Saccharomyces cerevisiae S288C: one gene and its partners. The gene in region 1 interacts genetically with each later gene. Each region holds a gene or a part of one and is shown on either strand. Other genes may lie near its edges.

Region 1 (3,049 bases):
TAATAAGGACAAATATCCATTATATCCAAATCTTCCTTTTCCTCATAGCCTGTAAAATTATTAGGTTCGGATACTGTGTGCTCTATGTTGTTATTAAATGTTATTATTGGTCTTTTGTGGTTTCTTAATATTGTTCCACTATCGTATTGAAAGTTTGATTTTTCAGAAGCCAAAATAGCATTCAATACATTATTTTGGTACATGTCCCGAATTAGCTAACAAATTTCTTAGTATTTGTGTTACAACAATTAGAGATTTTGTTTTGTTTATTTACTTTCATCAATTCACGTTATTTTGCCGCCGACGGCTTTGAGACCGCACAAAGTTTTTTTTCACCAGAGCAATAAGCTGGGTCATTTAAACTATTCGCAAATCAAGGATTCAAAAGATCTTTTCTTAGATATATTTTCTTCGTGATTCGTCATTAAATAGAACATGAAATAAAAAAAATAAAAAATAAATATGCCTATACATTATGAATATATATTATGCTATAATTATTACTTCTCCTTTTTAACTTCAATTGATTGATCTTCTACGTATGGGCCAAATAGTTCAAGTGAATATCTTGTTGAGGGTTTGCGCCCTTTCCATATCAGTTCAGGGAAGACTTTCCATCTCCAGATGAACTGGTAATTGCAGCTGACGTTGAGCGTAATGACCCTTAAATGTTCCAAAGAAACAATGTAGAAATAAATCCCCATACCAGTTAATATATGCCACCATCCGTGTGGTTCAAGCAGTACACCAAGTGGTAAAGCCAAAATACTTCTTCTAACGTGCACCCAGAACGAACAATAGTGTATATCAAGTAGCCACGAAATGTAGCCAGATAAGAACAAAATTGCGCCGAGCGCCATTGAAGCCTTGAGATTTCTTTTGGCAAGTGGATCATGGACGTATCTGTACGTCAAACTTCCTGCAGTAGCAGCCACAACTACAATCTGTACGCCAAACAAAATTTGATGGATATCGACATTTTTGTAAATAACGTAGAGTATGCTTGCTGTTGTAACGGCCAGGCCGATAATTACGCCGATGAATATCTGTTCAAATAGAGGAACCTTCTTGTGATTATCTCCGTTAAGTAATGCCTCTTTGGCCTCGCATACTAAACTCCATGTCGGAATGCACATGGCGTATATCATTGGAAGTTCATCCAATAGTTGGAATCTATACTTCAGTGTCATATGAAATAGCCATGATCCTACTCCGACCAAACCGTACCCGAAGCCAATAAGTAAAAACCTTTTTTCTAATTTATTCTTGTAAGCAGAGTAAGTTGTGTAAATCGCTGACAGTATGAATACGCTGTTAGTTAAAGTGTTTGACCACTCGGCAATATAGGGAGAAACGACATAGTTCTCCTCACACCAGTCAATAGTGGAAGTTGTTTCTCCCCAAACGCCGGGGACAGAACTCTCTGGATAGTTCCAACGAAATATTCCCATCAATCTTCTATTTTCTTAAATAAAGATTTCTGCTTTTATTTACAAATTAATCTCTGTAAGTATCGGACCTTATAAAAACCCCTTACACAATAACTATATAGATGTATATAGGATATATAGATATATATATGCAAATATCTTTTTCCTATAAGCGATAAAAATAAAATGCTACCCGAATTCTATTTAGACATATATAACCGGAGACAGATATTTTTTATGTCATGGGGTAGAGTAGTGCGTTTGAAAGTATCAAACAAAAAGTTTCAGGGGCCGGATCTAATCGGCATAAATATTTTCCGATGTCTCGCGTTAAAAAACTTGCGTGATAATCCGTCCGCACTAGTGGGATCGAAAGAAGGGGCGTGGTCAGAAGGGTAACGTTATGTGAAACCCTTGCCTTTGAATCTTTCCTGCTATGCTACGTCGGCCGACACTTCCATTTGAAAAAAATATAAACGATGGTGTTGCCAAGTATTTTTTTTCGCCTTCGTTTAACGTCAGCATTACTAAAAAGGTTAATGGTTGGCGATACTAACTAAAAAGAATTTGTAGAAATGCCATGAAGATTTTCACGCTGTATACCATGATTCAGCAATACTTTTTTGATAATGGCGGTGTTTATAGTATAAAGAATTTTTATTCTGCAGTTCCGAAGGAGAAAATGAACATAATTCTTGTTTCACTTGATTGTGAGCTCCAAAAGCTTGCTCTTAAGCTGTCAAAGAAAACTAGTGGCACTCACACTACGCACTAGCTTTTACACCACATCGTTATTGTTTTCCATTAACGCTTACGTAAATTTCATCTATCATTCTACCTGTACCGTTCCCGATGATAGTGGCTTACAAAACGGCTTGAGGTACAGTTGGTTCGAACTTTTTGCATTATTGTTGCCTTCTTTTTTTAGTAACAAGCGGCGTCTTTGTTTCTTCTGCAAAAATAATCTCGCTCGAGTAATTGGAGGCTTGGCAAAACTTAAATCTCCACGCATACCCGGCTTCCTATGTTCGTGAAGGACTCAAAAACATGAACTATCCTTATCCATCTTTCTTTTGCCAAATTATTTTAGCCAATCTATATAACACTACATCATTCCTTTGAGTCTTTCTTTATCATTCATTCGAAGGGAGAAATATACGAGCCAAATTCAAAGACAGACTATTTTTTCGAGCAGGCCTATCTCATCAGAAAAAAATTTAATAAAGCTCTAGATAAGCAAACACAATTATTTTCAAAAAAATTTCTGCTAAATGGGTAGAAGAAAAATTGAAATTGAACCTATCAAAGATGATAGAAATCGTACAGTTACTTTCATAAAGCGAAAAGCAGGACTATTTAAAAAGGCTCATGAATTGTCAGTACTTTGCCAAGTAGACATTGCTGTCATTATTTTAGGATCCAATAATACATTCTACGAATACTCTTCTGTTGATATGAGTAACCTGCTTAATGTTCATCAAAACAACACTGATCTTCCTCATAATATCATAGAACCATCTGATTATGGTGACTATGTGAAAAAACCACGTGTTGTTCTGAATGAAAGGAAGCGCAGGCGAAGAAGAGCAACCGTGTTGCAACCAGCTTCCCATTCTGGG
Region 2 (2,474 bases), on another chromosome or scaffold:
CTAAGCCATGCAAGTTTTTTTTTTCATTTGGTGGCGAAACAAAGGTGATGAAAGTTTCTTCTTGTACAAACGCCAATCCCGATAGGTGAGACAATTCTTGAAGTAATGGACCTCTGAGTAAGCATATCAGTCGAATGAAGTTCCAATATGCGTTGGCCAAGGAACAGCTAGGCAGCAACTCGCGCAGTGGCGTCAAAAAACTAATAAGTAAACACCACTGGCTTCCGGAATACTATTTCTCTGATCTCTCATTTTCTGTTGTACAGCAGTGGGACAGTAGAGCCATTGAAAAAACTACAATCATATCTTGTATGCGGCCCGCAAACCAAGAGATTTATCCTTTGAGACATTGTGAGACCCTCCGTTCGCAACCGTGCTCTCTGTTTTCATCACTATATGCACGCTCTTTCCAAAGCTCCTGCACTTTGCACGTGGCGGAGCCATCGCCCGGCTTCCATATGTACGGCTGCCACACCTAACTATTTCGGTTGCGGCCATATCTACCAGAAAGCACCGTTTCCCGTCCGATCAACTGTAGTTAAGCTGGTAAGAGCCTGACCGAGTAGTGTAGTGGGTGACCATACGCGAAACTCAGGTGCTGCAGTTGTTTTTTTTTTCGCGCACGAATACATCACGCAGCCTCGCCTTGACACTGCTCAAGGGATAAGGGGAAGGAGCTGAGATAGAACTGAGTTGGAGCGTTGCAGCGGCACGAGCAGTGAAAAGAGCGAAGAGAAGAGAAGCAGATAAAAGACCAAAGTAGCGATGATACTTCGATGTTTGGAGCGATTTTTCCTATGTGAATATTAGAAATCATATGTTTTGTATCAGCTGAACAGTGAATGATGTGCTCAATACTCAAATTCATCTTTTTGTTTGCTAAAAATAGCTTAACTGGCACATCATGAAAAGGATGTAGAAATTATAGAGTATATTTACTACTAAGAACTATATAAAAACACAGTGTGATGAAAAGTCACTGATCAGGCTTTAACCACCGTAGACGCCAGAAAAAACAGACCTAATCTGATCCATGCCGTAGCCGGAGTACAAACATAATTGTAGCAAAATACGCGATTTTTGAGGGTTTAGGTAGCCAGATCCAATGGCGTACTCTGGGGCATCATCTGGAGGAACTGTACCATCTGCTGTTCTTCTGCTGTGAACAATTGGTATACCATACTCTTCATAAAGTTGTTCGTTTACAATACTACCCGTAGCAGTCCAGGAACCAGCTCCAGAACCCGCCAACACGATACCTTTTGCGCCCAGGTCCTTGACGGCCTTTACTATTAGCTCAGGATTCAAGCCTTGATAGGAGTACAGAATAATGACTTCTGGAATTTCCGAAGGGTCTGTGAGGTTGGAAATGTCAAAAAATTGCCATCCATTTGGCTTGACTGGTGGGTAGTAAAACTCCACGTCATCATTTGAAAAGTAACCTAAATATCCCTGTTCATCCGCTCTGAATGTATCTAAAGAGTTGGCATTCATTTTCGTTGTCCAAAACCCAGAGGCAATACGATCGTTTAGAGTGATCATCGTGCCACGACCCAGTGATTTCTCAGAAGCAGCAATAGACACTGCTTGATATAAATTCATTGGGCCATCAGCAGACGTGGCAGTGGCTGGACGCATAGCGCCTGCGATACATACTGGCTTCTCTGAATTTATGGTCAAATCTAAGAAGAAAGCTGTCTCCTCCATAGTGTCGGTCCCATGAGTGACAACCGCACCAGCGTAGTCATCAGAGGCTAGTGCCTCGGAGATACCGTGATACAATGGGATCAGATGCGTATAGTTTAAAGAATTTGAACCAACGTTAGACACTTGAAGATAGTCCAGATTTGCCTTCTCAGCTAAAGATGGGACGGCTTCTATTAAATCATTTACGGTTAATCCCACGCTATAACCCGCCGTTGTTGCACTTGTCGAACCCTTGGAAGCGATAGTACCGCCGGTACCAAAAATTTTGATTGATGGCAAAGAAGAATTCTTCTCTTCACGAATTTTTAGTAGTGGAGCACCACTGGACATTGCGACAAAGAGAGAAAGTAAAAGGGTATTTAAAGATCTCATAGTTGGAGGTTGGTGAGTACCAGATTGCTTACAAAAGAATAGCGAGCCAACATTTGCTCTGCCTCAGGCCTCTTGGTGCTGCTTGAAGACTCATCTTATATGGCTTTTGTATGTCATGATTTGTTCTTGTACATTATGTGTTGATATTAAACAAATTGATTTTTTTTTTTTTGCGATAGCAAGCAGATAATGAAAGAGACAAGGACTTGGAACATCCGATAAGACTGCGCCGATATCGATCTTACAGTCCTTCCCTTGTGTCATGACTTTCGGAAAAGCATCCTCGTCGACTGGTAGTTTGCTGTCTGTCACGTGCTGAAGGGTCTGATACATTTTTTTAAAGATAAGAGACGGGGTTTACCTTCGGAGGACTAAGCGAGATCTCCAAGTAAAGA
Region 3 (3,043 bases), on another chromosome or scaffold:
TTCAGCAGACCGTGAAATTCAACGTACGTTGATGGAGTTGTTGACCCAGATGGATGGTTTTGATAATCTTGGACAGACTAAAATCATCATGGCTACGAATAGACCAGATACTTTAGATCCTGCTTTGTTGAGGCCCGGTAGACTAGACAGGAAAGTTGAAATCCCATTGCCAAATGAGGCCGGCAGATTAGAAATTTTCAAAATTCATACTGCAAAAGTCAAAAAAACAGGGGAATTTGACTTCGAGGCTGCTGTAAAAATGAGTGATGGTTTCAATGGTGCTGATATTCGTAACTGTGCAACTGAAGCAGGTTTTTTCGCCATAAGAGATGACCGTGATCACATCAACCCTGATGATTTAATGAAAGCCGTAAGAAAAGTAGCTGAAGTTAAGAAATTGGAAGGCACTATAGAATACCAAAAATTATGATGTTAAAAAGACATGTGTATGTATAGGTATGTGTATATCAGTAACAAAAAGAAATGCGAGAAAGCTTGCCTTATTTAAGCTCGAAATGGCTATTGAACTCTAGTTCTAAATGCTTTTTCAATAAGCTAAATTTATTACTAAAATTTCGCTGACAATAGCAGCAAAGTAAATCGTGTTCTTTCAGGTACGTAGTTTCAATTTCCTTGTCAGTGCCCAAATTTTTTCCGTTCAATGGTAAATCGTCCCAACTAATGAAGAATCCAGTATTAAATGAATTATAATGTTTTTTGTTCTTCAATCTTACCGAATGGAAATCTTTGGATATGACGTGTATATGTAAGTTGGCCATCGAAGGCACGCTGTGTATCCCAACTTGTACAAAATTTCTTACAAACTTGTTTTTGTCTTTTAATATGTCATCCCAGCAGGGGTCTTTGTCATCATCACTCTTCTTTATTCGGAACTTTTCTTGAAAATGCCTAAAGATGTGGTCAATCGCAGAATTAACGTATGATTCAAACTCATTCTTAAACTTAGCATCAATCACTTTAGTAGGATGACTTCTACTCAGCTGCATAGTTCGTGGTAGAATCAATAAATGGCACTCTGATTTAGGAAACGAGTCTCTAATTATGGACACTTTATCATCAAAGTATGTGACTGTATCATCGTTTACCGTTTCTGGGCTGGTAACGTAGTTTTTTAACGCATACCTCCATGACATTTTTCAGTGTTTTGTTTTATTGTCTTCTCTTATTGTTGCCCTGCAGGATTAGATTGGCTTTTTCACTTTTAAGTGCATCCTTGGGCAAGATGTAAGTTAAAACAGAAAACGAGAGACCCACGGGAGTATACTAATATAGTTACAAATCATTTTTATAGATTAAATATATAGTCATAATTAACTATCGGTGCAAATAGCTATAAATTCGTTTTCATTAATCTCGCCATCACCATCCAAATCAAACTCTTCAATCATCGCTCTCAGCTCTTCATCCGTCAAAGTTTCTCCTAATTCTTTAGCTACACGCCTCAAGTTTTTAATACTTATTTTCCCAGTATGGTCGTCATCAAATAATTGGAATGCCCTTTTTATTTCATCTAACGGATCTCTCTTCAATATTTTTTCCCCCATTACAATATAAAAATCATCATACTTCATCAAATGCCGCCCCTCACTATCATATTCATCTATTAAGTCAAGTATTTCTCTCTTGGGTAGCTCAAATCCCAGGGCCTTCATTGCTACTTTCAACTCGTGGTAATCGAGGAACCCATCATTGTTCATATCGAACAATGAAAACGCCTCATATATTTCTTGCTTTTGCTCCTCCAATAACTCGCTATTAAGTGGACCAGACTGTAGCGATGACCTGTTCTTACTCATACTGTATGATTTATTTCCGTTTCTTCTTTGGTTCACTTCCTTTCTCGTTTAATAAATCTCTTCCATACTTACTAATTAGGATTCTTCTTTTTTTCTCTCTATTTCGCAATAGTTAAGCCTCCAAAACTCTTGGAAATTTAGTAGATAAAATTACGGCATCAGGCAAGAACTAGTTAAGCAAGTACTTCCTGCATCATTAAAGTTGTTCTTTTCCTAAACGCCTCTCAATACTAGAGAAATACATCAAGCTTTGGGTTATTTGAAATCTGTAACTAATTTGCAAACCAAGATAATACCCCCGGGTATTGAGATCAAGTAATTTTAATGAGGAGCAGTTATCAACCAGTGTCAACTACAAACTTTGAACATGAAAATGCTATACCTACTGCGTCGTCGTCCCATAATCTGTTGATGAGCCAGCGTTTTGATGATTCTCCTCCTAGTTCTAACGACAACAGTATAGAAACTAATATAACGCCTCCACCTGAACCACCTTCTTATGAATTTGATATAGAGGACCCTCACGATGATCTTCACAAAAGAACACATCTACAGAGGGTTTCAATTGGGTTTCAGGAAAAAATTTTGGAACCCTTAATGGAAAACATCATTCATCCACTCTTACAAATATCAAAATTCGTTCCAGACAAAGCTGACTATTACTTAAGTAAAATCGGAAATCCCTTTATACTTCGAAGGTTCTTTTACATCATTTTCATGTCATTTATTGCATATTATGTCTTGTCAAGTGGCTACTTATTCAACGAAAAGGCATCAGGATCTAAAGGGATGTTTTCTCAACACGATATACTTTTTGAATATGCCAAAAAATCCGTGGATTTGGCAAAGTTTGAGAGAGATTTGGAATATATTAGTAGCATGCCTCATGGATCCGGAACGAAGGGTGATGCAGCTATTTATCGATACATTCAGGAATCTTTTGACAACAATGGGTTGAAATTGGTTAAAGAAATGGGATACTCAGTTTATTCTAATTATCCAGGCAATGTATCAATTTCATATTATGATAACAAGAATGAAAAGCATGATCTAGAACTTTCTAAAGAAAATTTCAATCCGTTGAGTTCTAACGGGAAATTATCCAAAGTGAGCTTGATTTATGGAGGCAAAGGTACAACATACGATTTACAACATTTAAAAGATTCGAAAACGATAGAAGATGGGAAGGACTATGTGCTTTTACTGCAATATGATAAATTAGTGAG
Region 4 (3,883 bases), on another chromosome or scaffold:
AATGTCATCGCTTGTTACAATATTTTCATTCCTTTATTCAAGGATTTTTTTTTTTAATTTTTCGTTAAAAAATATTGATCACTTTATAGGGAATATTATGTACCTGGCTACAGCTGAAGCTTGCCTCTGTATGTAAAGTATCTAAAATATATCAATTTTTTTTTTTGGATAACACCTGTTTTCATTACCCTGTATCTCGTATTCGTGAAAATAACTATTCTGAAGTAATAATTATAAAAAACATTTCGGAAAACAAAACCATTAATAATTTGTTTTTAATTTTAAATATCAATATTATAATAATTTATAATATTATAAAAATTTAATTAAAAATATAAAAATTTTCACGTGAATCATATGTATATATATTTTTTACAGAAAAAGTATCATACTTCTTATTATAATTGTCATTATATTTTTTAAGAGTGCGCAGCAGTCATTGGCAATATTCATCCGTTCGCAGTGACGCGTAAAAATACATAAGGTTATTGAATGCGGAATTATACATCAAGTTCCAGATCAGCTAGGATATTATCTAACATACCCATATCTTTTCTGTACTCCAAATACCCTACTTGTTTTAGGTATTCTAAATCGTCTTGGTTTTCGAACAGCTCCACATCATCCGGTTCAAAAGAATATTTTCGGAGCAAATAGTACCTAATGTCATCCACTAGTTCAATAGTATCAGTTTCCTGGCGGAGAGAAATTCGTTGTGAACTCAACATAATTGCCCTTTTAATCTCTGGATCTTTATATAACTCTTGCAAATGTATAGCTATAAATTTAGCTGCAAATTGTTCTAAGCGTTCCACTCCTATTTCCCATGATAAATAGAGTACGTCAAAAACATTGTATTGCTGAATAAACTCTTTTGATTGTGTTATAATTGTAGAAGCGATAGTTTTTAAGCGGTCTTCTAAAAGTATATCGGCAAGTAACAAAACATCGACGGCATACATCCAAGGAATGTCTGTATTATCTGCATATAAGTAGCGGAGAATAATTTCGGCAACCTCAAACTCACAATTGGGTAATGTCAGCTGTGGAATGATACTATTATACTTTCCTGTAACGTGCTTGGCTTTGATATATGTAACTTTCTCCTTGAAGTTGTTTGTGAACATCACCTTGAAATATTCTGCGCGGCTCAAAACAGCCAGGTGACAAGGGTATATTCGAATGGCTCCATTTCGGTTTTTTACCATAAGTTGAACATCCGGATAAGCTGGACAGTTCATCAAGGAAAAAACTCGTCGTTCACTATTAGCAAGATCAACAGTAGATCTAAAGATACAATTGTTCACAAATATTAAAAGTTGACTTCTTGCAACCTCGGTAAACTTATATTGGTAATCTGACATTAACCTCGACTTTTCCGTAGGATCGGCGGTATGCCTTGCTTTGTCTAAAAATTCGGGCAATAACTCAATATCAAATTTACTAGATAGCTCTATAAGTTCTTCATATTGTCCCGGTTCAATTTGGTGCAGGATCGGAATTAAGTAAAGAAATTTCAAAAATATGTCAAATATATCTGGGCGCACTTCAAGAGAAACAATTTCATGCTTTGCCCACTCATTCACCATTTTTTCTGCTAGAATTTCGCTCCTTGCACATAATAAGAACTTATGCGCTGTGAACAGTTTTCCATTCGAAACTCTGAATGTGATATCTCTTTTAAGGAAGCCTTCGTCATTATACATCGATGAGATATGAGTAGCAAAGGGTTGCTTGACATCTACAGCCTTGGATATATCATAACTTAAAAGGGTATCTCTGATAGTATCGGTCAATGCTCCATAAATACATCGAGCTCCTTCATATCTGTCTCTATCACAGACGGCTCCTCTCTGTAGAAGAAGTTTCACGACTGCTTCATGCCCGCAAAGGCTAGCCAGAAAAAGTGGCGAATTGTCAAACTTGTCAACACTATTCACATTTACTCCCGTGGAAATCAATCTATCAACATTGTCCATATCACCAGTGCGGCATGAATAGCACAGTTCTTCAAAATTTTTGTCCATTAATTTATCTGCCATAAATATGCCAAAGGTCGTTTTCAAGTGGTAGTGTACAATTTATGACAAATCTTTCCTGTAGTTTTTTTTTTCTTGTATTTTTGTTTATTGTCAATATGACCATAGAGAATAGTAAGTAAATTGAGTGTCCACATCTACGTAGTCCACGTATTATTATTTTACTTAAAAGGGATGGGTGTTTTAGGAATTCAGAATAAGCGATACCGTTTCTAAATTCTCAATTTAGAAGGTTAGGCAGGAATTGAGTTTCAATATAACCTGTTAATGTCCCTTTTTTTTTATCTTCTATTCTTGACGTCGTTTTATCTCCTTCAGGGTTTCCTGTTTTCCTTCTTGTTTAGCATTGCCTAATTGCTAAACGAATCCCTTTGTTAAACATTTGTAAACCGGAAAGTTGGAACAAATATCTACACAAATCAAATAGCCTTTCTATTTCATTCTAGGATTAAGTCAGCAAATATTGATAAAGTTGTGTTAATCGTATGAATTCGAAGCACATTTCACTACAATGAGACTCTTCATCGGTAGAAGATCACGGTCGATTGTAATATCTTCCAACAACTACTGTTTATCCTTCCAGCGTTTGCGCAGCATACCAGGTGCCAGTTCTCAGCAGCGTCAATTAAGTAAAACTCCTAGCGTAACAATCAAGTCCTACCCTGACACAGATCTTTCAAGTGATAGTAACTATCTCGAAGTCAAAAGTTGCATATTTAATGGATTATTAGGGCTCGTTTGTCTTAATGGTGATATATATGTTGCCGTCATATCTGGTGTTCAGAATGTTGGGTTTCCTCGATGGAAACTGATAGATCATCAAGTTAGGCCTTCGGAGAGCATTTATAAAGTATTGGATGTTGACTTTTACAGCTTAGAAAATGATGTTTTCGACTACCTCCTCTGCGAGAGATCAGAGCAAAACTATGATAAATTGATTCATGAGCATCCTTGCGGCCCCCTGAAAAAACTGTTTAGTGATGGAACATTCTACTATTCTAGAGATTTCGACATCTCTAATATCGTGAAAAACCATGGTTTATCACATAACTTAGAATATACCGTAGATAATCAAGATTTATCATTTATTTGGAATGCTAACTTAGCAAGTGAGGTAATCAACTGGAGAAGCAAGATTTCAAATGAGGAGAAACAACTTTTTGCCAACGCAGGGTTCTTAACATTTGTAATTCGGGGTTATTGCAAGACAGCATTAATAGAAGACGGCCCAAATACAGCCTCTATAACCATTATTTCCAGAATTTCGACTGAGAGCAAGCAGGATACGCTAGAATTGGAGGGTATTAGTGAAGATGGGAGAGTGTCGCTATTTGTTGAGACAGAAATTGTAGTAACCACAGAAAAGTTTATTTTTTCTTATACTCAAGTGAACGGAAGCATTCCTCTTTTTTGGGAATCTGTAGAAAGTCAACTGTTGTATGGAAAAAAAATTAAGGTAACAAAAGATTCTATTGAAGCTCAGGGAGCTTTTGACAGGCATTTTGATAATTTAACCTCAAAGTATGGTGTTGTGAGTATCGTTAATATCATAAAACCTAAAAGCGAATCACAAGAAAAGTTAGCACTGACGTACAAGGATTGTGCTGAATCAAAGGGAATAAAAATAACAAATATAGAATACAGCTCAAGCGTTCTGACAAAGTCTCCCCACAAATTACTTTATTTATTAAAACAGGATATTTACGAGTTTGGAGCGTTTGCCTATGATATCTCTAGGGGCATCTACTTTGCAAAACAAACGGGGGTATTAAGAATAAGCGCATTTGATTCAATTGAAAAACCTAACACAGTTGAAAGGTTAGTGAGCAAGGAGGTACTTGAAT

What was found.
Region 2: mutations in YPC1 (region 1) and YLR156C-A together harm fitness more than expected from each alone (negative genetic interaction), as found in Saccharomyces cerevisiae (one large-scale study listed by BioGRID).
Region 3: mutations in YPC1 (region 1) and HNT3 together harm fitness more than expected from each alone (negative genetic interaction), as found in Saccharomyces cerevisiae (one large-scale study listed by BioGRID).
Region 4: mutations in YPC1 (region 1) and YIL001W together harm fitness more than expected from each alone (negative genetic interaction), as found in Saccharomyces cerevisiae (one large-scale study listed by BioGRID).

The regions. Positions count from the first base shown.
Region 1 is NC_001134.8:594,517-597,565, reverse strand, and holds YPC1 (phytoceramidase), read right to left. Parts: upstream 1,452-3,049; coding exon 501-1,451; downstream 1-500. Other genes in the region: YBR184W (uncharacterized protein), read right to left, coding at 1-203; YBR182C-A (uncharacterized protein), read left to right, coding at 2,011-2,205; SMP1 (Smp1p), read left to right, coding at 2,702-3,049. UniProt on the Saccharomyces cerevisiae protein: Alkaline ceramidase that hydrolyzes phytoceramide and also dihydroceramide into phytosphingosine or dihydrosphingosine. Prefers phytoceramide.
Region 2 is NC_001144.5:471,979-474,452, forward strand, and holds YLR156C-A (uncharacterized protein), read right to left. Parts: upstream 633-2,474; coding exon 501-632; downstream 1-500. Other genes in the region: YLR156W (uncharacterized protein), read left to right, coding at 135-479; asparaginase ASP3-2, read right to left, coding at 991-2,079.
Region 3 is NC_001147.6:809,782-812,824, reverse strand, and holds HNT3 (DNA 5'-adenosine monophosphate hydrolase), read right to left. Parts: upstream 1,155-3,043; coding exon 501-1,154; downstream 1-500. Other genes in the region: proteasome regulatory particle base subunit RPT4, read left to right, coding at 1-430; CDC31 (centrin), read right to left, coding at 1,332-1,817; TRE2 (putative zinc metalloprotease), read left to right, coding at 2,142-3,043. UniProt on the Saccharomyces cerevisiae protein: DNA-binding protein involved in single-strand DNA break repair, double-strand DNA break repair and base excision repair.
Region 4 is NC_001141.2:352,099-355,981, reverse strand, and holds YIL001W (uncharacterized protein), read right to left. Parts: upstream 2,043-3,883; coding exon 501-2,042; downstream 1-500. Other genes in the region: phosphoinositide 5-phosphatase INP51, read left to right, coding at 2,551-3,883.